Linked DNA regions of Schizosaccharomyces pombe. The protein of the gene in region 1 interacts with the protein of each later gene in a biochemical or structural test. Each region holds a gene or a part of one and is shown in the gene's direction. Other genes may lie near its edges.

Evidence for each region. Proteins that work in one complex are often made in the same cells at the same time.
Region 2: the proteins of nep2 (region 1) and cul1 form a complex in vitro, tested with the Schizosaccharomyces pombe proteins (one study listed by BioGRID).
Region 3: the proteins of nep2 (region 1) and ned8 form a complex in vitro, tested with the Schizosaccharomyces pombe proteins (one study listed by BioGRID).

The regions. Positions count from the first base shown.
Region 1 is NC_003423.3:1,449,840-1,458,193, reverse strand, and holds nep2 (NEDD8 protease Nep2), read left to right. Parts: upstream 1-3,521; 5' UTR 3,522-4,759; coding exon 4,760-6,007; 3' UTR 6,008-6,863; downstream 6,864-8,354. Other genes in the region: bem46 (palmitoyl-(protein) hydrolase), read right to left, coding at 1-530; SPOM_SPBC32H8.15 (uncharacterized protein), read right to left, coding at 2,861-3,166; SPOM_SPBC32H8.01C (uncharacterized protein), read left to right, coding at 7,090-7,179, 7,258-7,307, 7,400-7,823; kinetochore protein Mis15 , read left to right, coding at 8,039-8,345. UniProt on the Schizosaccharomyces pombe protein: Protease that catalyzes two essential functions in the NEDD8 pathway: processing of full-length NEDD8 to its mature form and deconjugation of NEDD8 from targeted proteins such as the pcu1, pcu2 and pcu4 cullins and other proteins. Has a role in meiosis.
Region 2 is NC_003424.3:3,608,354-3,616,415, forward strand, and holds cul1 (cullin 1), read left to right. Parts: upstream 1-3,703; 5' UTR 3,704-3,770; coding exon 3,771-3,838; intron 3,839-3,883; coding exon 3,884-3,970; intron 3,971-4,068; coding exon 4,069-4,133; intron 4,134-4,244; coding exon 4,245-4,321; exon of another isoform or gene 4,322-4,523; coding exon 4,524-6,530; downstream 6,531-8,062. Other genes in the region: ghs2 (glucosidase), read right to left, coding at 1-1,386; protein slt1, read left to right, coding at 7,273-8,062. UniProt on the Schizosaccharomyces pombe protein: Core component of multiple cullin-RING-based SCF (SKP1-CUL1-F-box protein) E3 ubiquitin-protein ligase complexes, which mediate the ubiquitination of target proteins.
Region 3 is NC_003423.3:2,318,226-2,324,165, reverse strand, and holds ned8 (ubiquitin-like protein modifier for cullin Ned8), read left to right. Parts: upstream 1-3,870; 5' UTR 3,871-3,909; coding exon 3,910-3,927; intron 3,928-3,975; coding exon 3,976-3,993; exon of another isoform or gene 3,994-4,064; coding exon 4,065-4,177; exon of another isoform or gene 4,178-4,227; coding exon 4,228-4,315; 3' UTR 4,316-4,408; downstream 4,409-5,940. Other genes in the region: SPOM_SPBC24C6.03 (proline--tRNA (Pro) ligase), read right to left, coding at 1-1,142; ATP-dependent RNA helicase Spb4, read right to left, coding at 1,834-3,619, 3,749-3,783; thioredoxin Trx2, read left to right, coding at 5,699-5,832, 5,915-5,940.

The DNA.
Region 1 (8,354 bases):
AGAGCGATAGCAACGGCACCACCAATAGATTGACCATAGACGACGATTTTTGTTTTGGAACAAATGGGATGTTCCATAAGGTACTCCAAAGCGGTTTGGGAGTCAATTTTTAAACCAGCTTCGCTAGGAGAGCCGGTGCTCTTTCCGTAACCACGGTAGGAAATGATGAAGACGTTCATATTGAGAGCAGAATAGAATACACGAGCGATGGGAAGACGATGACCCATGTTACCGGCATTAGCATGAAAGTAGAGTAAGGTGGGACGAGATTCAGGAGACTCGGATTGTAGCATTAAATAAGAATCCAAAGTGACTTTGTCACGGGTCCTCAACTCGATACGCTCATACTCCATGTTGAATTCCTTGGGTGTTGGAACGTTCTCACGAGAACCCTGAGGAAAGGCACTGGGATAAACGAGGGTCTTTTGGTACTTGTACAAGAAGCCCAAAGCAATGAGGGTAACGGCTAAGGAAGCCATACCACTGTATTTGAGAACATTGAAGATGGCGGAAGACAATGAACCTGCCATGTCGAGGAAAGAAATGAAGGAAGGATGAATGTAGACGCGTAAGTAAACAATGGGGTGATGAAAGAAAATGAGAAGTGTAGGAAGTGAAAGAGGATTTTCAGCTACAGTACGCGCATAAATAAGATTCAAATTTGCTTTAAAAAGCGCGTACAGTCTTGGAAAAGGGAAAAGGCAGCTTGGAAAAGTGATGGATGGTGGAGGACCAACATTTTTAGGGGGAGAGATTAAGGAAGGCTAGCGAGGAAAGCTAAAGCTACAGTGAAGGAAGATTGGGTTGAAGGAAAGGAGAATAAGATGATATGAGGAGGAATATTACTGTAATAAGAAGGTATCGGTCTTGGAAAGAGAAAACTAATGATAATATGAAAGTTTGGGTAATATCAAAAAAGAGTAGAGTGATATCAATTGTAGGATGGAATAATAATGTAAATAGTGATAATAGTATTGTTTTAATAGTAATATTGTTTAAAGGAATCAGCGGTATACATACGGTGGTAAATACAGTGGTAAATAGTATGGATAATGTGATCATGATATAAGGAAAACATTGATGGCGTATAAGAGTAGGAAAAGAGTGGTTTATCAAGAGTAATAAATATTGGTCGTAGATAAAATAACGTCGCAGCAATAAAAAAAGAAGCGACGGACTAGCAAAGTGCAAACGAGAAACAACATTGAATAAAGCGAAAAGGGATGGAGATTGAATGGAAGGAAAACAAACCATTGTCGCGAGTAAAAGGAATAGATGGAGAGGTAAACAAGGAAGAAGAAACAATAAAAGTAGAATAATATATTAATGATTATAGCGGCAAAAAAAAAAAAAATTTAAAAATAATAATAATAATAATTTATGAATCAATCATTAAAAGGAAAATCAAAAAGAAAATAAATGACTGAATAATAACAAACTGAATAGTGAATAAGGATTACAACGCAACGAAAAATAAATACATTAGCAAATATTGAATGAATTAAAATATCAAATGAAACCCCAAAAATAAAAATAGATAATTTAATTTGATTAAATAAATAGTTAGTAATGATTGAGGATGGAGGATCGAAATGAGTTTGTAAATGCAGTGTCTATTATTGTGCATTGCTAAAACATCAGAAGAGAGAGAGGAAGCAAGTTTGAGAAGGATTTTTATTTGAATTTACATTTACATTTAGATTTTTATTTTATTTTTTTAGATTTTAATTCAATTTTATTTTGATTTTATTCAATTTTATTTTATTTAATTTTTATTTATTTATTTTTTTTTTGGATTTTACTTTGTTAGCCAGTGATTTATTTTTATTTATGTTACAATGGTTATAGTCAAACACATTTAGAGTGAAACAGTAAACCAACGGCTTTAAAAATTAGTGAAACACAAAACCAAAACTTTATTACATTATAGCGATCCCTCATTACCATACAACAAACTCATTTACAGTAAAAACAAGATAGAGCTTAACTCTACATTATTTAAAATAAGAAAAAGAAAAAAGAAAAAAGAAAGAAAAAGAAAAAAAGAAAGAGATTTTACTTGTCATGCTTGCCTCTCCCTCTCCCTTTCTCCCTTCATCTTGCTTCATCTCCATCTTCATCTTCATTTCCATTTCCTTATCCATTTGCTAAACGTCATAACGTAACTTAAGGCAAAAGCCTCGAATCTACCGACTCCGCATTTTACGAATGTTTGTGTTTTTGCTTTATTATTTTCCCTAGTAACCCATCCACGTCCACAGGCAACAAACATAATGTGGCAAACCAAAAATTTTAATTCGAAATTTGAAGCGCTGCGTAGAAAACGGTAAATCAACTCTATTCTGGTGGGAAAGGGGATGACCCAACTATCATTGATTACAGCAACCATTATCAAAGTTTGGTAATGCGTAAGAAAAGAAGCGAAGTCCAGTCTCACTCGTTTAAACCGTCGATTAACGTTTAGGTTTTTTTTATTCTTTTTCTAATTTTTTAACTACATCATCGAAAGAGAGATGAGAGGGAGAACACAAACAAAACAACAACCTCATTTCGTCACAATCGGATAAGAAGTAATGGATTGTTTAATGTTGATAATGAAAGGAAAGGAAATGAAAAAAGGGTGGGTGAAAGATGAGTTGTGTTGGAATGTTTGTCTTGTTTTCCAAGCCTATTCTATCTTTTTTGACACAAATAGTAACATATATTACTTTTTACTTTTGCTATCACTGGCATCATTCAACTCTTTTCACCTCCGATTCCATTCCAATGTCCAAATTTCCTTGCGATTCTTGTTAGTTTTCGCCCCACCCAAAAAATTCCCTTTCCCCCCCCCTTTTTACCACTAAACAACAACCGCATATCATTTGCCGAGCATCCCCGCTTCCCCGCCCAGCATTTCAATTACCCCTCCTTTTGAGAGGAGAGCTCGGCCGACCCATGTCGGCCTGAGAATTCGAGACCAAGGAAAAAAATATTGCATGTCAACTTTATGTGGCCAACCGCAATGCAAAGAAGTGGAAAGCGGTGCGTAGCAGTGGATAGCAAACGATAAGGAGTGAGATGAGAGAAAGAAAAATATAGAGAGAGAAAAACATAGAGGGATGGAGAAGAGACACATGATGGAAATAAAAAGAGTATGCGCGATATTTGAGTATCGAAAAGTCATTGAAAGTATTATTTGATAATTAATTTTCTAAAAAAACCTTTTCACACATTATAGTTTCACTTGGATTTTATTCTCTGTTTACACTAGACGATATGTCTCTCTCTCTCTCTCTCTCATCTTTCTCATTTTAACACACCACCCTCTTTTTCACTATTCCCCTCTTTTCATCTCTTCTCTCCCCAGTCCACTAGATTACGCTATATTGGTGTCATCTTTTGATCATTCTTCCCCTTCTCGGCATCCCTCCCCCCTCCCCCCGCCGTCGACTATTCTTCCATATTATTGTTACCTGTCTTCTCCACCCATCTCCATCTTCACCTCCACATTCTGGGTCTGTCTTTTTGCCCTTTACCCCAACTTTTTGCCAACCACAAAAGTACGTGTTGGACGGTCATTGCCGGCTCCTTTTCTGAACACTCCTTTCATCATTTTTTGCTTTTTCATTGCTCAGAAAACTTCTTTCCTCTACACAATACTCACCACTTAATTTCCTCTCTTCTCACTACTACACACTTTTTTTTTAACTCTCTTCTCTACTCTCTGTAGGTGTGTGTGTGTGTGAGTGTGCGAGTGTATGCGTACGTGCGTGTACAAGTGTGAGTGTGTTCTGCTGACTGTTCGTTCGTCTTTCTCTCTCTATACAATTTCTACTACATTCATTCTCACCATTTTTATTCTAATCCTTGTTTTTCTTTTTTTCTTTCTCCACATTGTTTGGTGAGGTGGTTGAATTGTTTTTTTTTATATTATAGAAGTTTCTCTATTGGTTTTTTCCTTCTCATATTTTTGGCATTTTTCCTCCTTTTTCTTTTCTTCTTTCTCTTTCCCTGCATCCTTTTGATTTGCTTTTCTTTTCCCGTTTTACTTTTTACTTTGCACGTTCTCCTTTTTTAAAGGCTTTTTTTCTCCTCCTTCTCTCGACGTCGTCTTCTTTTACTTTTATTCGTAACCAACTTAAGACTCGTCTCTACCTCAAATTATCTCTCAATTCTATTCCATCTGGATTCTCTCGGATTTCTTCCTTGCGCTTTTTTTATCTCCTTTTTCTTCCTTCTTAGCGCTCCAACTCTCCGTTAATCGTTTTTCCTTTTTTTTCCCGTTGCAACCCTTGGTTTCATCTCATCATCTTTTATCCCTCCAAACTCATTTATCCTCGATCCAAATCCAATCCAATCCAATTCAATTCAAGCTTCCTAATTGCTTGCTTGCCCAATTGCATTCGAAAACTTCCCAGTTAACAACAAGTTTTTCCATTTGCTATTTCTTTTGTTTTTGCTTTGCCTTTTTTTTTTACCTTTCTCTTTTAGTTTCTAATTTTCTTTTTCCTTTTATTTGTTCATACTGTCTTTTCCTAACTCTGTGAAAAAAAAAGAATTCGATATTTATTTATCCAATTCTTTCTTCTTTTCATTCAATTTTTTACTCTCCTTTTATTTCCTTTCTCATTTGCAATTCTCGTTCTTTCCCATTGTTCACTTTAGAAATAAAAAAGTGCTTATTTTCTTATTACCTGCCTGGTAAAAAACGCGTTTCTAAAAACTTGTATTCGTCTTTTTCTCTTTCTCCCACTGTCCTATATTCCACTTTTAAAAAATGCGCTCCAATTCCATTTTCACAAAGGAAATCGACAGCGAGGCTGTGAAAAAGTCTAGCAATTTACGTCCTCCCTCCACCGGCTCTTCCAATTCTAATGGCTCTGATACCGCTTCTCCCAAAAAGAAGAAAAAGGGCTTTTTCCGTTCCTTGTTTGGCAGCAGCAGCAGCGGATCAAAGTCTTGCGGTTCCCCGTTTACGCGCATCTGGCTTGAATATTTCGAGGTTTCCCTTCGCAAAAACGACGTCGACCACTTTCGTCCTGGGTATTGGATCCTTGATACAAACATCGATTTCTTTTACGAAATTATGTTGCGTCAAGTCTTGCTCAAACGTCCCAAGGAGGAGAGTCAACAAATATACTTGCTTCGTCCTGCTATGGTCTTCTTTTTGGCCCAGGCTCCTAATCCTTTGGAAATCGAGTCTGCCTTACCTCCTGCCATGTTTGATGCATCGTTTATCTTTCTTCCTATCAACGATACCAATGAGTGTGGTATCGAGAGCGGCTCGCATTGGAGTTTGTTAGTCGTCTCCGTTGAAAAAGGTTTGGGCTGGTACTATGACTCCATGTCCAATGGTAATACCAATGACTGCAACCTTGCCATCAAAAACCTTGGCATTCTCCTTAAAAAGGAATTCCGTGTCCGACACATGAAGACTCCACAACAAATTAATGATTGTGATTGCGGCCTTCATGTTTGCGAGAATACTCGTATCCTCATGTATCGTCTATTGCAAAAGCCTTATGTACCCAAAGTGGACATGAACTTGGACCATTCTGTTGTCGATAGTGTGCGTCTTCGCAAGGCACTAATGGAGGTCATTACTTCTTTACTTGCTGCTTATGGCTCCAAGGTACCCAAGCCTTCAGAAACGCATACCGATCCTGAAAAAGATAAAAAGATCTTTTCTAAAATATGCAAGACGGAAGAGTTGTTAGAGCTACCTACGCTAAGCGCTGTTACTTCTGATTCGGCCCAACCGCATTCTTTGCCAGCTTCTATGCCCAGTTCGCAACCTCAATCAAGGTCGGAATCTTTGCCGCTCACACATCCCAATTCGGAACCAAATCCAAAGCTCGATTCACAGCCCAACTCCTCACCAGTTCGTAGGCCATCATTAATAAAGGTAAAGACCGCTAGTACTTCTGTTCTTCCAACCTCGATACTTCAGAGACCACCCTCAATCGTACCGAGACCGGAAACCGCAGCTATACAACATACACAACAATCCATTGAGATTCATTAATTTCCTCTGTCTCCCAAAATGCAACTTGCTTTGAAGTGAAGTTTGGATGTCTGATTTATTTTTTGCTTCATCATCGAATTGCATCGCATTGCTTTTTTCATCCATTTTTTGCCGCTATTTCCGTGTTTCAAGCATACAAGTTTTATCGGATTGTTCAGATGGTTATTTTTTTGAGTCAAGTTTTGTCATTGTAAATCTTTAGATGTTCATTTGCATCCTCATATAGTCGTGAGAGATGAGGTATGAACGGATGTTTGTGTGTTATTTATGGAGGCTCGTCTTTTATTATTATTATTATATGTGTTTGGTTCTCGGTTCCTTATTATTATTATGTTGCTTGCTGGTTATTTTCTTGCACAATGTTGCTTATTTTTTAACTTGCTATTCCTTTTAGATAAAGGTATCTGGGTATAAGATTCCACTTATGCTGTTGCTGTACATTGCTGGTTTATCCGGTCACTCGTTTTTCCTTTTTTTTTTTCATTTTTCCATTGTTGATAAGAATTTGTCCCTTTTCTTTATCATTTCTAAATATTTATTTATCTTTGTATTGTCATTACTTATGCGTTTCATTTCTAAATCACTGATTTTTGCAATGTTTTCCATCTTTAGGTTTCCACCTTTTACTTGCTACAATTTTTATGAACAAACAAGTTGATCAATAGAAAATTTTGGAATTGCTTCCAGTGTTTTATTTTACCTTCCCTTTACAATAGGCTGAATAGACTTTACGAGTTGTATTCATTGTCCGAGGAAGGTTTTCAATAAGAAGTTTTGTTAACATGCCTTTTAATTGAATATGTATATGTGGGTGTACGTTGCACTAAAGCCTTTATTTATTTATTTATTTTTTTTGATCTGAGCAAAAAAAGTCAACATGTTGCTTAGTTGTCTATACAATGTTTGGGCAATTGCAAAAAAAATCAATAAAATAGATTGAGTATTTTATTTTTATTTTAGTTATAAATTAAATAAATTAAGTATTCTGTGGTGCTTGAACCGTCTATTAGATAAATTGATGTGTGAGTGTAATTCAGGCGATTCACCCCTTCTCTCTTCTTTACCTCAAATATAAAGTAGTAATGTTGAAGAAAATGCCGATGTCCAATAAATTTGAAAATTTCTATACATTGAGACAAGTTTCAGAAGTAGATAAAAAACCATGCTTTATTGTAAGAAACAACAGCAATTAAAAATTGCCCATTACCTTGATGAAGCACCATTTTCTAATACACTATTATCGTTTCTAGTGTTACAAGCCTACAAAATGGGTATTAATAACAAAAACTAAATTAGATTTGTAAGTAATCATTGTGAAAACCTTCATGGTTTGAGTTGATACATAATTTAATGGGAAGGAAAAAGTTTTTTTAACCAACAAAATAAAAATAGTTTTTATGTTTGCTACAATCATTTGCAAGATCGAGGTTTTGCTACACCAATTTCCGTGATTAAATCAGTGACTAACAAAATCGACACCAACAAACTAGAAGCTAAGGATGAGTCAAAAAACGTAGAGAAGGATGCGACCGGTAATCCACAAGAATCAAAACAGGAACCAAATTTAGAAGTGCAGCAGACAGAGAAGGAGAAAGATGTAGATTCGGCGTCTGCCGAGAATGAATCTATCAACTCCTCCTCCTCATCTTCTAAAGAATGTTCAACACAGACCCAATCCAAACACTATAATCTTCATCGAGATATTTTCCAAATGCGAATTCGATATCATGCTAATAGAGCAGCTGCCGAGAAAACAGCAAGACTTCTGCAATCTGGGCAAGGACTCCCTTCACCACCATCCAAACCATTGCCTTAGAAGAACTTGGGAAGAGTTAAATTTGCTTACAGCTGGTGCTGCCAAATGATCTCAAAGACCATTCTTTTGTAACATTAATATTTAACAAAACAAATATATCTGAAATCCTTCGTTAGTGATCAGTGTTTGAGAGGATAAAAAATTAGTCCACGGTAACGATTGATATATTGTGGCTCCTTGTCGTAAACATAAGATATTCAAAAAGGAGGACCGCTATGCGTACTGAATTGTCTAGTAATATTCGAATCAAGCATGACAAGAAGATCCAGAAGCTATTAAATCGATTTCCTAGGGATTTCTTAGTAAAATTGTGTGTAGAATGGATTCAGAAGCAAACATACCCACCAAATGCCAAAGACATCAATTTAGAAGATATGTTGGACGATGAAGAGTGGAATCCCGAAGCATTTTATAAAAATGTTCCAAAGAGCATGCTCAAACGCAGCATTATTCATCGAATGCTTGTGTACGATTGGCCTAATGGATTCTACTTGGGCCAAATTGCACAGCTGGAGATATTGGGTATGTATT
Region 2 (8,062 bases), on another chromosome or scaffold:
GATGGTAACGAAATCGTAATTGGGATACATATAGAGGTCGAAAGGAGCATATTGTGCTGATTGAGAAACGACAGGCATGGTTTCCAAGTAAATAGATCCATTGTAAGGAATACCACTGCCGAATGTACCTTCCAAGGCATCAATTTCAGGTCCTCCACGACCTGTACCAACATTGGGATGATCTTCACCCTTACAAACACATTGGTTTAAGCGTTGTCCACCCAAATATGAAATGCCACTAGGATCCGACTGATTAGGAGTAATTCCGGCATCACATGAATTATAAGAATAAGGCCAGACGCCATCAGATGTTGCAAGGTATCCTGGACGAACCAAATTACCTATAGTCCAAATACCTGGCCAAAAACCAGGAATATAAGGGGAGCCTCCTAAGGATGCAGATACCTCGATTCTACCACCCTTAAAGCATAATTTATTCCAGGTGGTAACCATGCCGCTACGGAAATTAAGATCATGATTGTAAAACGCATCCATACGAAGACGAAGTGTTCCGTTTGCCGTAGTGGGCGTATCAGCGTCGTAGTATTCATAATCGGTAGTTGCAGCGTAATGAAGGTCAGTTGCTAACCAAAATTGGTCATCGCCGTCATAAAATGCACGACCAGGGTAATTAAATTCATCAGAAAAAACAAGATCCAGAGTACCTAAATCCTGAGAATCAAACGTATAAGCACTTTCGGGGGTATCAGGATCTATCAAGCTTCCATAACGTAATAAACGTAAAATCCGAAATTGATGATTTGTAATACCAGTAACACGAGTACTAGCAAGTGAGTTATGGCCCGTGTATGTAAGAATGGGTAATCCAATAAACAGCATACCTGTCCCAGCAGCTAAAAAGAGAAGAAACAAGAGTTGCATTAATCCTTCTCCGCCTACGAAATAACTTAACTTTTTAGCATCTTTAGCGGGCAAAGGATAATGGAGAAAATCGTCAATTTCTTTATCTTCTCTACTCAAAGAAAAGTCGGATTCACCAGCGGTAGGACCGGCAAAAGCAACAGCCTCCAGTTTATTAATATTTTCAATATCATCAACTATGCTATTGTTTTGAGGTGAGGTAGAATACATATCTGATCCTGCGCTATTTCCACCGTTAGGATATCTATTATATGTCTGAGAGCTGGGTCTAATAGAGAATCTATGGGTATAGCCACTAGCTCTTGTTCCGCCGACACCGGCTGCCAAGGCTGCACTGCTAAATGTAGCGTTGGAGGCATTGTTGTACAACAGACGAGTAGAGGAATCGGTGGGATTTGTGAAAGAAGAAGTACTGGTGTCTCTCGAAGCGTACATAGAACCAATCTCATTCACGTTACCATCCGAAGGGGTTTTGCGATTTAAATCGCCACGTACATTATACATGATAAATCCAACGAAACCAGTTAAATCCCAAGAAAGAAGAACAAAAATGAATGAAAAGAAAGCTTAGTTAAAGAAGATTTCGCGCTTAGACACGTAACCACAAAAAGTCTTCGCTGAGTTGTGACAGCAAATAGTCTTCAAAATACTTCCAGCAAGTAAAAAAAAAAAAAAAACGTTAAACAAAAAACAAAAAGAATCTAAAGGAAAAAGATGATGAGCCTCAATCTCGAGAACGAAAGCTAATTCACTTGAAAATTTTCCTTTTTCTTGTAAAGTGCTCGAAAGCACTTTTCGCGTAAACGCACAAAGTATTTAAAAAATAAATACAAAAGAATGAATACTTGTAGCGATTTTGGAACGCTGGTGTACCTCACCAAGGTGGAAATACGGAAAGGTAGTATATAGGACTAGGCAAACTCCAAATGGTTGTTTGCGGACAATAGCGAGGCAAAGTCGGCGGAAGTTTAAAAAGACTTGAATGAAAGAACAACTAGGTATTCTTTTTACAGATTAATAAAAGGAACAGGATTTTAAAATGGATAGTTAACCTTCCAAGTGTTGAAAAAAAAATTAAAAACAAAAGCCAAATTAATGACTTAAAAGTCCAAGTAACTTTTTTGAAATAAAGTTTGGTCAGTTCATAAAACAAGTATTTTCTTTTTTTTTTTTTTTTTTTGAGAAAAAAGAGGATTTGTTTACAGAAAAAAACAGGAAAGCAGAAAGACAGCGGTTTGAATAGCACAAGCTGAACTAGCTTATTTATAACGAAATTTTAAGTAAATACTGGAGACAAAGGTTAGTTATCCTCCCCCAATAAGATAACTGAGAAAAAGTCGATTAAGATAAAATTATGGAGAGAGAAATCAAAAGAAAGAAGAAAGGCCTAAAATAATAAGAAGATTGTATAATGACTATGGATTACTACTTTAAAATATATCTCTTAATATCACAGTATATAAACACTCTTGACTATTAGTGTGGAAATTGATGATGGATTGCAAAGAAAAGATGAGCGGATAGTTTCTAGAAAAAATTTTGGAATTCAAAAGACGAAGCAGTGATGTAAATAGCTTTTTTGCAGAGTTTCTTATGTTGAAATTGAATAATTACATAGAAACTTGAAGGTTCAAGGTTCATAAAAACGGAGAAAATGGGATATAATAGCAAATAAAAGAGAGAAACAGATATTATGTTTGTTTTTTAGAAAGAATCTCAACAAATTACAGATATTTTGATTGTATTGGAATACTAAACAAAAAAATATGTAAGTAAATAGTCAAGTGAGCAAAGTAGAACAATGCTGGCCACGCGTTAAAGGGGGAAAGGTGGTTAGCGAAGAATGGAATGTTTTCAACTCATTATTGCCATTCTACGAATATAAAAACACCTAAATTGTAAAAAAAAATAAAAAAAATAAAGCAAGCAAGTTTAAGTGATAAAGGAGGAAGCTAATTAGTTATGAAATTGAGAATAATTTTTGGTCTTATTCAGAATTAATAATAATTCGTCTGTTCCTAAGTGAATATAGAAAGCAGACTCCAAACGTGCGTATCCAAGCGCATTCTATTACTTTTATTTTAGTAGGTAAATGATAAAAAGTTCAATTTGAGGCCGCTTTTGATGCATCAACATTTTGCGACAATTTTACTTAGGAATTGGCTACCGTTAACGGCACTCAGAATTGTTTGAGGATGAGGCTCTGATGGTAAACAATAGATGGCGGTGCTCAAAAGATGGTATGAAGAGGTAATTTGTAGCGCGTTTGAGAAAGAGAAGGAAAAGTATTTCTGTTTTACAACATCTATGAAAGAGCATCCTGTTATGTTGGCCACATTGAAAATGTCAACCTATTTGAGGTCCAAATTAAACCCTTTTCAACATTTGTAAATATTTCATGGGTTTGAGATTTTCATTTAGTACAATATTACTATACACTTGTCAGAGATATCTTTTACACCATATGTGTATTTGCATCGAGCACTCAATATCCAGCGGATCGCATACATCATTCTTTTGGCAGAACAATAACTCAAATTTAAAGGATTTCTTTGGCATATTCATGTATATGTTGATAAATATTGGCTTTATGTCTTTGTTTTCATAATAATAAATGCGTTAATGAAGAATTTTTTAATATAATAATTATTTACTTAAAAAAAAATTAGATATTAAATATAATCTTATAAAGCACTTTTATAATGAGCTTTTGCTACGTACACCTGGCTACCTCTTGTACCTTCGTTCACTTCGTCGTTACCTGTAGGTTCTTGAAAGGATCAGTGCTACTATTTACTACGTTTACTCTATCTGCCATCTAAGAAAGAGCAATTGTGTGCTGAATAAAATATATTTTACTTGTTATACATTTATAACCATTTTGGTTAATGACTACTTTGAATACCAACGATAAAGACCTCCCGATTGTTAAAAAATATGATTCATTGAATGGAACGTATGTTACATTGTAACTGATTGACGATTGCTGATCTATATGCAGTTGGGACTTTTTAAAAACAGGTGTGTCCCAAATATTTGAAAGGCTAGATGAAGGAATGACTATCACTAAGTATATGGAGCTTTATACGTAAGTTAGTCCAATATTTTGAGATCTGAATACTAGTATATTAGTTATCAGATATTTCATGGCACCTATATTTATATACTTACATACTTTATTTTTAGAGCAATCCATAACTACTGTGCTGATGCGTCCAAAACTATAACGGTGGACAATTTCAACGATCAAAGTACGTAAAAAATAGATAAAAATTTATATTTTGACTCAGAATTTGTCAAAAAGAAGAACTACATATATTTTCTTATGATTATTTTCACTGGATTCTAACTGTATGTGCTAGCTGCAAACGTTTTAGGCGAAGCCCTTTACAATAATTTGGTTCTATATCTGGAAGAGTATTTGGCCCGTCTGCGAAAGGTGAGTTTAAATATCGGTTTTTTATTTATAATTCTACGACAAAGATTTCATTGCACCTCGAGTGTTCAGCAGTTTTCTTTAATTTCTAAACATTTTCTCTGGACATTTTAAAGAGTGCTAGCATAAGCATCTGGTCTTTTATTATGATTAAGGAATAAATTGCATTATGTGGTAATTTTTCTCGTGCTAATTGGCGCTTTAGGAATGCATTTCGCAAACGAATCATGAAGAGCAACTCGCTGCGTATGCCAAGTATTGGACGCGATTTACAACATCTGCCCGTTTTATCAACCATCTTTTTGGATATTTAAATAGATATTGGGTTAAACTGAAGAACAGATTTACTGAGACACTCGTGTACGACATTTACACACTTTGTCTTGTGTCATGGCATCATCACGTTTTTTCCCACATTCGCGATAGCCTACTTCAAAATTTGTTATACATGTTCACCAAAAAAAGATTATATGAACCTACTGATATGAAATATGTGGAAGTTTGTGTGGATTCTATCACTTCATTGAGCTTTGATAAAACCGATATGACAAAGCCTAACTTGAGCTCATACAAAACTTTTTTCGAAACAAACTTTATTGAAAATACAAAAAACTTTTATGCAAAGGAGTCTTCCGAATACTTGGCTTCCCATTCTATTACGGATTACTTAAAAAAGGCAGAAATAAGACTAGCAGAGGAGGAAGAGCTTGTGAGATTATATTTGCATGAATCCACATTGAAGCCGCTTTTAGAAGCGACTGAAGATGTACTAATTGCACAACATGAAGAAGTTTTGCACAACGACTTTGCACGCATGCTCGACCAAAACTGCAGTGAGGATATCATTCGCATGTACCGATTGATGTCTCGAACACCTAATGGGTTGCAGCCTTTACGCCAGACATTTGAGGAGTTTGTCAAGAGATCAGGCTTTGCTGCGGTTGCCAAAATTGTTCCCCAGGTCGGTGGAGAAGCCGATGTGGATCCTAAAGAGTATATGGAAATGTTACTTTCCACGTATAAAGCTTCCAAAGAACTTGTTAACACCGCATTTCATGGGGATACTGATTTTACAAAGTCATTGGATACAGCCTTTAGAGAACTTGTCAATCGAAATGTTGTTTGCCAGCGCTCTTCCTCTCGCTCCCCAGAGTTGCTTGCTAAATACGCCGACAGTATTTTGCGAAAAAGCAACAAGAATGTTGACATTGATGATGTTGAAGACTGTTTATCGTCGATTATCATTATTTTTCGTTATGTCGAAGACAAGGATGTTTTTCAAAACTTTTATACTAAGCTTTTAGCCAAGCGACTTGTGAATGGTACCTCTAATTCCCAGGATGCTGAATCTAGCATGCTATCTAAGTTAAAGGAAGTCTGCGGTTTTGAATATACTAGTAAGCTACAGCGTATGTTTCAAGACATCTCCTTGTCTCAAGAGATTACCGAAGCGTTTTGGCAACTCCCTCAGTCACGTGCTGGAAATATAGATTTCTCTGCTCTTGTACTTGGTACATCGTTTTGGCCTCTATCTCCCAACAATGTGAACTTTCATCTGCCAGAGGAATTAGTTCCTTTGTATGAAGGATTCCAAAACTATTACTATAGCTGCCATAACGGAAGGAAGTTAAGCTGGTTGTTCCATCTCTCTAAAGGAGAAATAAAGGCACGCATTAACCCTCAAACTAATGTCACTTATGTGTTTCAAGTTTCTACATATCAAATGGGTGTTTTGCTTTTGTACAACCATCGCGATTCTTATACATATGAGGAGCTGGCAAAAATAACTGGGTTAAGTACAGATTTCTTGACAGGGATTCTGAACATATTCCTAAAAGCAAAGGTGCTTCTCCTTGGCGACAATGACAAGCTTGGTGATCCTAATAGCACATATAAGATCAATGAAAATTTTAGGATGAAAAAGATACGGGTACAGTTAAATCTCCCAATTAGATCTGAGCAAAAGCAGGAATCTCTGGAGACTCATAAAACTATAGAAGAAGATCGAAAGTTACTGCTTCAATCCGCTATCGTCCGTATCATGAAGGCTCGCCGAACATTGAAACATGTAGTGTTAGTGAAAGAGACTATTGATCAAATTAAAAGCAGATTTACTCCTAAAGTGTCTGATATTAAGCAATGTATAGATATGTTAATCGAAAAAGAGTACCTGGAACGCCAAGGCCGCGATGAATACATTTACCTTGCTTGAGAGAAACATCTCCGCGAAATGCTCCAAAAAAAATGATATACTTTTCGAGTGTTATATATGTAATTAATCACGCAATACGAATTTTCTTTTTTCTTTTGTTTACATTCTTGTCTGCTAGTGATCTTTAATCCATTGAAACTAAGCTTTTAATAACGTAGGAAAGTCACCACTCCATTGAAGAAATGTGTAGCTTAGCTACATGCAAGCTATGCAACTTTTTTTTACTACTAGTTACTGGATAGCAACAACAAACTTCTATTATCCCATCATTTTACGTGGATAAGTCGTACAATGAAAAAGAAAAGAAAACAGTTATCGACCACATACATGCACCATTTCACGAAGTACAGATGCTTGAAATTGTGAAAGGATGTCAAAGATATGTTTTATATAATACATTTATTGTCAATTGTCGTCTTCGTCTTCCTCTGCAAATCGCTTGATTCTGTTAAAAAAGACATATATTGATTATTCAGCACGAAGAACGAAATGGTGCTTACAAATTAAAAAAAATTAATTGATCAGACTAATTAAGGCAATTTTAACGTTTTTATTGATTTACTACTTCCAGGTGTTGCTGGAGTGTTCATGGATGAAATGGATGATTCCGGTACATTCCGGTGCCAACACCATAGTATGACATAAATGAGTAAACATCGCGGTTCGCTCATTCTTCTTCAACACACCATCTTCCTTGACATATCGTTCTGAAAAAAAATACTAGGAAGAGAATCGTAGCATAATGGCGACTTTATTTCATCTTATAGATGTACATGGTAATGAATATCAAAATGTGCAAGACCACAGCCTTCAAATGGCCTTAGAAGAGCTGAATCAACAAATCGAAGTGATTCAACGCCAAGAAGAACAATTGGCTTTGCGAAAGAAGGCAATTGAGGATGCAAGGCAAGAAGTGCTCCAGCAAATTCAACATCGAAAATTCCGTCAATACTTGCATGAACGGGAACAAGAGGCTCGTTTGCAAGAGTATTATTTGGAGCAACTGCAAGAGCGTAGAGCTTTTGAAAATGTTGTACGGACTATAATCAGAAAGCGATTTGAGGATGAGGAGCGTGAAAGAGCTCATCGCAGGGAAAAGGCGGCTCGAAAGTTGCTACGCAGAATACTTGTCTCCGATTCACCCAATATGCAGCTTGTAGTGCCAAATAATTTCCAGCAAATGTTTATTCATCATCCAGTCGTAGACACAATATATTCTCCTGAAGAGTCTTCGGAATCCCAAGCTGAAGTCGCTGACCAACAAACTGGCCCATACTCTACATCAGAGTACGCAGGTGCTCAACAATCTCAACCATTTCGCATATTTATTCAAAACGACAATGCACCTGAACAACAAAGTGGCCCAGACGTTGCTGAGCTTAATACGCTACCAAATAGAAGCAAAACGTCTTCTCAAGCTAGTGTTTCTGATGAGGAGCTTTCTCGCACCGAGTTGGCCGAATTGAACGATTATTTATTGGCTGCTCAACGCCGCTCTAACAAACGTGGAAATGCTAGAAAACATATTGACT
Region 3 (5,940 bases), 870 kb from region 1:
CCAATCAACTCAGCATCTCTCATTTTATATCCAAAAGCTCTATTTTGTCTGTCCTCCAACAGCACATTATCAAAGCCTACAACGTTAGCCGTGGCATCGTAAACCGTTTCAGCGCTCTGAATATGATTATCAGAAGTAGGAACAACTAGTACTTTCCAAGGAGCTATCGACGATGGCCACACTAAACCCTTTGCATCTTTGGTTACATGAGCGACTGCAGCTATAAGTCTTGAAACACCGATTCCATAACATCCCATATGAAGGACTTCCTGTTTGTTTTTTACTTCTACCGTTGCATTAAATTTGGAGGAATAAATTTTTCCAAGATAGAAGGCATGTCCTACTTCAATCGCGGTAGTTGAAGTTAGCTGATCATTGCAATTAGGGCATGAAATATCACTGGATGTTTTAGACAAATCAAGCATTTCGGAATTTGTTGAATAATGACAAGACGGACATGTATAGATTACATCTTCTCCCACAGGGTGTCGATAATGAAATTCGTGTGATAAGTTTCCTCCAATATTACCCGTAGCAGCTTTCACCATCACGAATGGCAATCCCACTTCTTTGAAAAAAGTATGATATGCTTGCAAAACATCCTCGTAAGTTTTCATAGCGGATGCTTTGTCGATATCAAAAGTATAAAGATCCTTCATCATGAACTCTCTACCGCGAAGAAGACCACCTCGCGGACGTAATTCATCCCGAAACTTTCGACCTATCTGGTAAACACGTATCGGTAATTGCTTTTGAGAATCTATGATTGTAGCCATAGTGCGAGTAACATCTTCCTCATGGGTAGGAGCAAGGCACATTTCTCTGTCATTTCGGTCATGAAGACGAAAAAGTTCACTTCCAGTCTTTTGCCATCTTCCACTTTTCTCCCATATCTCCTTACTAGAAAGATGTGCCAAACTGATCGCTGAAGCACCCAAAGAACGCATTGATATGTGCAACAAGTCACATATTTTATTTTGTACACGCAACCCCAGAGGTAAATATTGAAAAATTCCAGGCATAGACGGCTGGATAAACCCCATATCTATAAGTAACTGATTCGCTGATTCCGGGACATTGTATTTACGTATCGCTTTCCCTAGCACTTCAATCGATGCACGATTCCTTAAATGTTGTAGCATTTTTTAAACATGGTGTTTTTATACAAAAGCATATAAAAAATTTCAGAATCGCAAAATAAATGATCCAATAGAAGTAGTTTGTCAATAGTAATCGAAATAGGCGCTGGGTTCGTCCAAATAAATAACTGAGTTGACCTCCTTATTGCAATAAGGCTAGCAAAAAGTTAGGAATAGCCTACAGCACCCCGGATTCCCATGTTGTCTCCAACCATAGTACTAACGAGGCCCTCAGACGCTTAACTGCAGTGATCAGACGGGAACTGGTGTTTTCGCCTAGGTATGGCCGTAGACAGCACTATAAGTAATTAGTAAAATATATATATGATATCCTTAACCAGATTTTAGTAAAAAAAATTTGGAATTAATTGTGGAAATGTAATCTAAATTTATTGAATGTATCTACTGCTTCAGTTGCTTAAAGTATTTTACTTCTTAAATATCAAATTGATCGCAGAATTATGTGTAGATAAACGCTTAATTGCATTTTTCACAAATTTGTTAAGTAATCGTTGTAAATGTAAAGTAAATATACAAATGCAGTAATTCAAAAATAAATGCTGATGAATAAGAACTTAATATTTGCTGAACAACTCCAATTAATCTTCCAAGTTCTCAAATATTTAAAAATACTAAAAGACTTTCCTATATTTCCAAAACCCCGTTTTTTTTTCCATTCCCTAAAAATACATTGCTACATACTAAATCCAAAGGATGCTTGATTTTTTCTTTTTTTGCTTTTTTTCAACTGTCGGTAATCCTCTTCTAATTCAGATAAAGCATCCGATTCCTCATCTATTAAGTCATCGTTTTCCGTTTCTTGTGCTCCAGCTTTTGATACTATTTCTTGTTTCAGGTTATTAGAAGCTTCGTTTTTCTGTGCCTTCAAAAATTCTTTCTTGGATTTCCTTTTTTCACGTCGGGTGTTACGCTTCTCCTTTACTTCCTTTTGTTTGGACCAAGCTTCGTTCTTAATTTTTGCTGGCCGAGCTAATTTTTTGGGTTCAGTTTTTTCGACTTCCAATCGGCGTCGTCTGGCCTGCTCGCGTACTTGATCACGGTATGGTATGGTTGCATAATCAATGTCAAATTTTTTAAAAATATTTTCGGATATTTCGGTGTCTTTTAACTCTGGCATTTTTGGAAGATGTAATAAAGCGTATGCCGTGGCCAACTGTCCCAAATCCAAATCTTTGATACGAAAAATAAACGACGCATGATGTTTTGTGTACGCACGAACATGTGAAACAAACGCTCTTAATCCCTTATCATATAGATCTCTGTCTTTGGATACGATTTTTCTCAATTCGTGGGTTAATACTTTAAGTCGTGAAAGATCTAAAGCTTCAATTGGAGTGTCTATACGAGTAATAGGTACCTTCCTAACCCTTAACAATTCCTCATATTCTTCTTCTCTTCCATCATTTAACAAAACTATTGCAACACCCGCTCGACCAGCGCGACCAGCTCTGCCGCATCTATGAGAAAAAGATTTCGGATCCAAAGGCGGGTCGAGCTGAAGAACAAAGTCAACATTTGGAATATCAAGACCCCGGGAAGCAATGTCAGTTGTAAAAAGAACTGTTTTTTTATTTGATTTCTTAAATTTTTCAAAATTACGTGATCGATTCGACTGAACTTGCTGTCCATGCAAAGCTACTATTTCAAACGGTAATTTATAAGTGAGAAAAAGGGAGTTAAAATATTCAACAGAAGCACAAGAAGAAAAAAAAACAATTGCTTTTTCGTATTCGATCGTACAAAGCAAATGTATCATACATTGTACTTTGTATATGGGAGGAATCACTAAAGATTGTATAGCTAGACTTGACGGTGTTCTTGTATCAATTTTTTTTGATGTAACTGTCACAGAAACACGTACGCTATTTCGAAGGCCAGCAATTTTTAAAAATGATGACACAGTGTCATTCATTGTTGCGCTAAACAACCCAGTTCGACGTTGTTTCGGAAGTTGAGATATAATGGATTGTAATGTACGCTGAAATCCCATGTCAATAAGGGTATCAGCTTCGTCTAATATTAGTATTTCCAAATGCTTACTGGATATATGAGAAAGCATTTCATTCAATCGACCGGGTGTACCAATCACCACTGAGGGGTTTTTTTCCCGAAATGAAGCTAAATCATTCGTGAGCGTTCCCTTTCCCCCAATATACATATCTGCAACGAGTTTTTTCCCTCCATCCAAAGAGTCTGGTTGGTACGCCAAAAGCTCTTTGGTAACATTGAATATCTGTGTAGCTAATTCACGAGTAGGTGCAACAATTAATGCACCCAAACCTGTTTCGTCCGTATCTCTACGAGTGACTTTATCGAAGCAAGGAAGTAAATAGGCCAAAGTCTTGCCTGAACCCGTTACTGCTTCAACTACCAGATCTTTATTTTTCAAAAATAATGGTATGGCATTAGCCTGAACGGGTGTCATTTTTTTAAATCCTTGAGCAGCTACGGCGTTCTTTCTAGTTTATGTTAGTGCTTGTAAATTGTTGATTTGACAAAATCCTGGTATCATTTAGATAATAAAAATTTTTGAACAGGTTAAACATGTAGCAGAACCTAAAATTTTTATTTTAGAATTGAAAACTTACAGCCATTTATCTATATTAATACTCTGAAAACTCATTGTCCCCTCTTTGAAGACCAATTCAATTTTTCGCGAGGTGAGCCAGAGGGGAATGCTTATAGGGAGAGAGAGGAACTGCTAGCGTTTAACCACAACAATTTCAGAAAAGCGTTTATAAAAGTTAGCATGCTTATCAAAGTAAAAGTAAGATAAATTTATTTCTTTTTTATGTATACTAATATATAATCATAGACATTGACAGGGAAAGAGGTTCGTGTTTTAAATGTTGAAAACATTTATATGCAGTTATAATTCATCTATGTTTCTAACCAAAATATAAGATCGAATTAGACATTGATCCAAATGACAAGGTTTCTAGGATCAAAGAACGGGTTGAAGAAAAAGAGGGTATCCCTCCTTCACAGCAGCGTCTGATCTACGCTGGAAAGCAAATGTAAGCACTATGGGAACATCCATACAATGATTCTAACAAACATCACGTAGGGCTGATGATAAAAATGCTGAAAGTTATCATTTAGAAGGAGGCAGCGTCTTGCATCTTGTGTTAGCTCTTCGTGGAGGAAGTTGCTAGTTGTTGCATACTTTATTTATAAAGAAAAATTATGTATAAAAAATCATACTTTTATTTAACGCTATAAACGAAATCTTTTTACTGTTTTACTAATACTAAGAGTAACGAAATGAGAATTGAGTCGCTTTATTATTGCTCTGTTTCATTTTATGTGAATCTATTGATTTGTATAAAAATATTGCTTAAGCTTTTCTAAACTTAAGACGTTTTGGTGATCATGAATTTCAGCGATAAGATTGATTACTTCTTGTTAATTTATGAGTAAAGTAGTCGTAAAGAGACGTTTTGCACAGAAAAGTCAATATATAACAACAATTGCTTGCGCATTCCCATCTGATATCAAAGTATATAAAGCAGTAGCATGCGAAGCAAAACTTCCTCAGTACAACATCGAATGTAATTACCATAAACGCAAAATCTCTAGTAAGACTAAAAGAAAATGTTGTTTAAATAAAACTAACTGCAAAATGCTATGTAGCAAAAACATGGGCTGTTGTGGGAATCGAACCCACGACCACCATCACCCTAAGATGGTATCATACCACTAGACCAAACGGCCACATTGATAGGGGTGCCACTTAAACATATATAAAGGAAATATACATGTAAATCTATATAAATTACATTTTTAAGGAGGAAAGTATAATCAATATGCTTATAAATTGCCATTTCAATGTATTGATTCTCATTTTTCTATTTAAGAAGTTTTAAATTTTTTTTGTTTATGAGAAAGTGACATCGGCTTTAAGGAACTGCTCTATTTAAAAGCAAGAGAGATTCATTTAATTATAAATAGTCTGCATAAAGCCAAATTACTATTATAAAAATTAAAAAAAAATGATATTCTTTCTTAATTTCAAATTAATTCTGATAACCGGATTTTCGAAGTTTTATGTAATCTTAAGATTGAAGTACTAGTTTTTATAATCGTGAGTACAAAAAATCCATCCAAAAATCTTTGGGCTGTATATTTAAGAACAAATTAAAGTAACTTTAGTTTAATCAACAAAGGTAAGGATTTATAAACTTCATTAGGTGTTTTTTAAAGTTATTAAAAAAAAAAAAAAAAAAAAAAAAATCTCTCAAATTGTTCGGCTACAGATTTTTTGAAAGCTTCTATTTTCCAATAAGGATTCTAATAAAATATAATAAAGAGGGAAAAATGATGCTAAATTATAATTTTTTTTATTGGTTTCCCAAATTTTTAATCTTTTTTTATTGAATTAATGTTGTAATAATTTAAAAAATATTGTATTAAAGAGTAATGTTTATGATCGCAACTAAGCACTTTTCTCCGCCTGGCGGTAGTTCTAGCTTACTAAGTGCTATAATTTCACCTATTTAAATTTTTGATTAAAACCGTCAACCAAAATTATAATTCAAATGCGTGGATTTATTGCAAACTCTTTAAAGCCGCATATGAGATCTTTTGCTCTGCGCAGAAGTTTTACTAGCTCTCGTATTTTGAGAAAGGTGAACGCAGTTGAATCGTTTGGCGATTACAATACTCGAATTAGGTATGTATAGTCAATAATATATCATAGTAAAAAATAAAAGATAAAACTTTTTCGAATAGATCTCCTTGCTAATTGCTACTAGTGCTGACAAAGTTACCGTCGTTGATT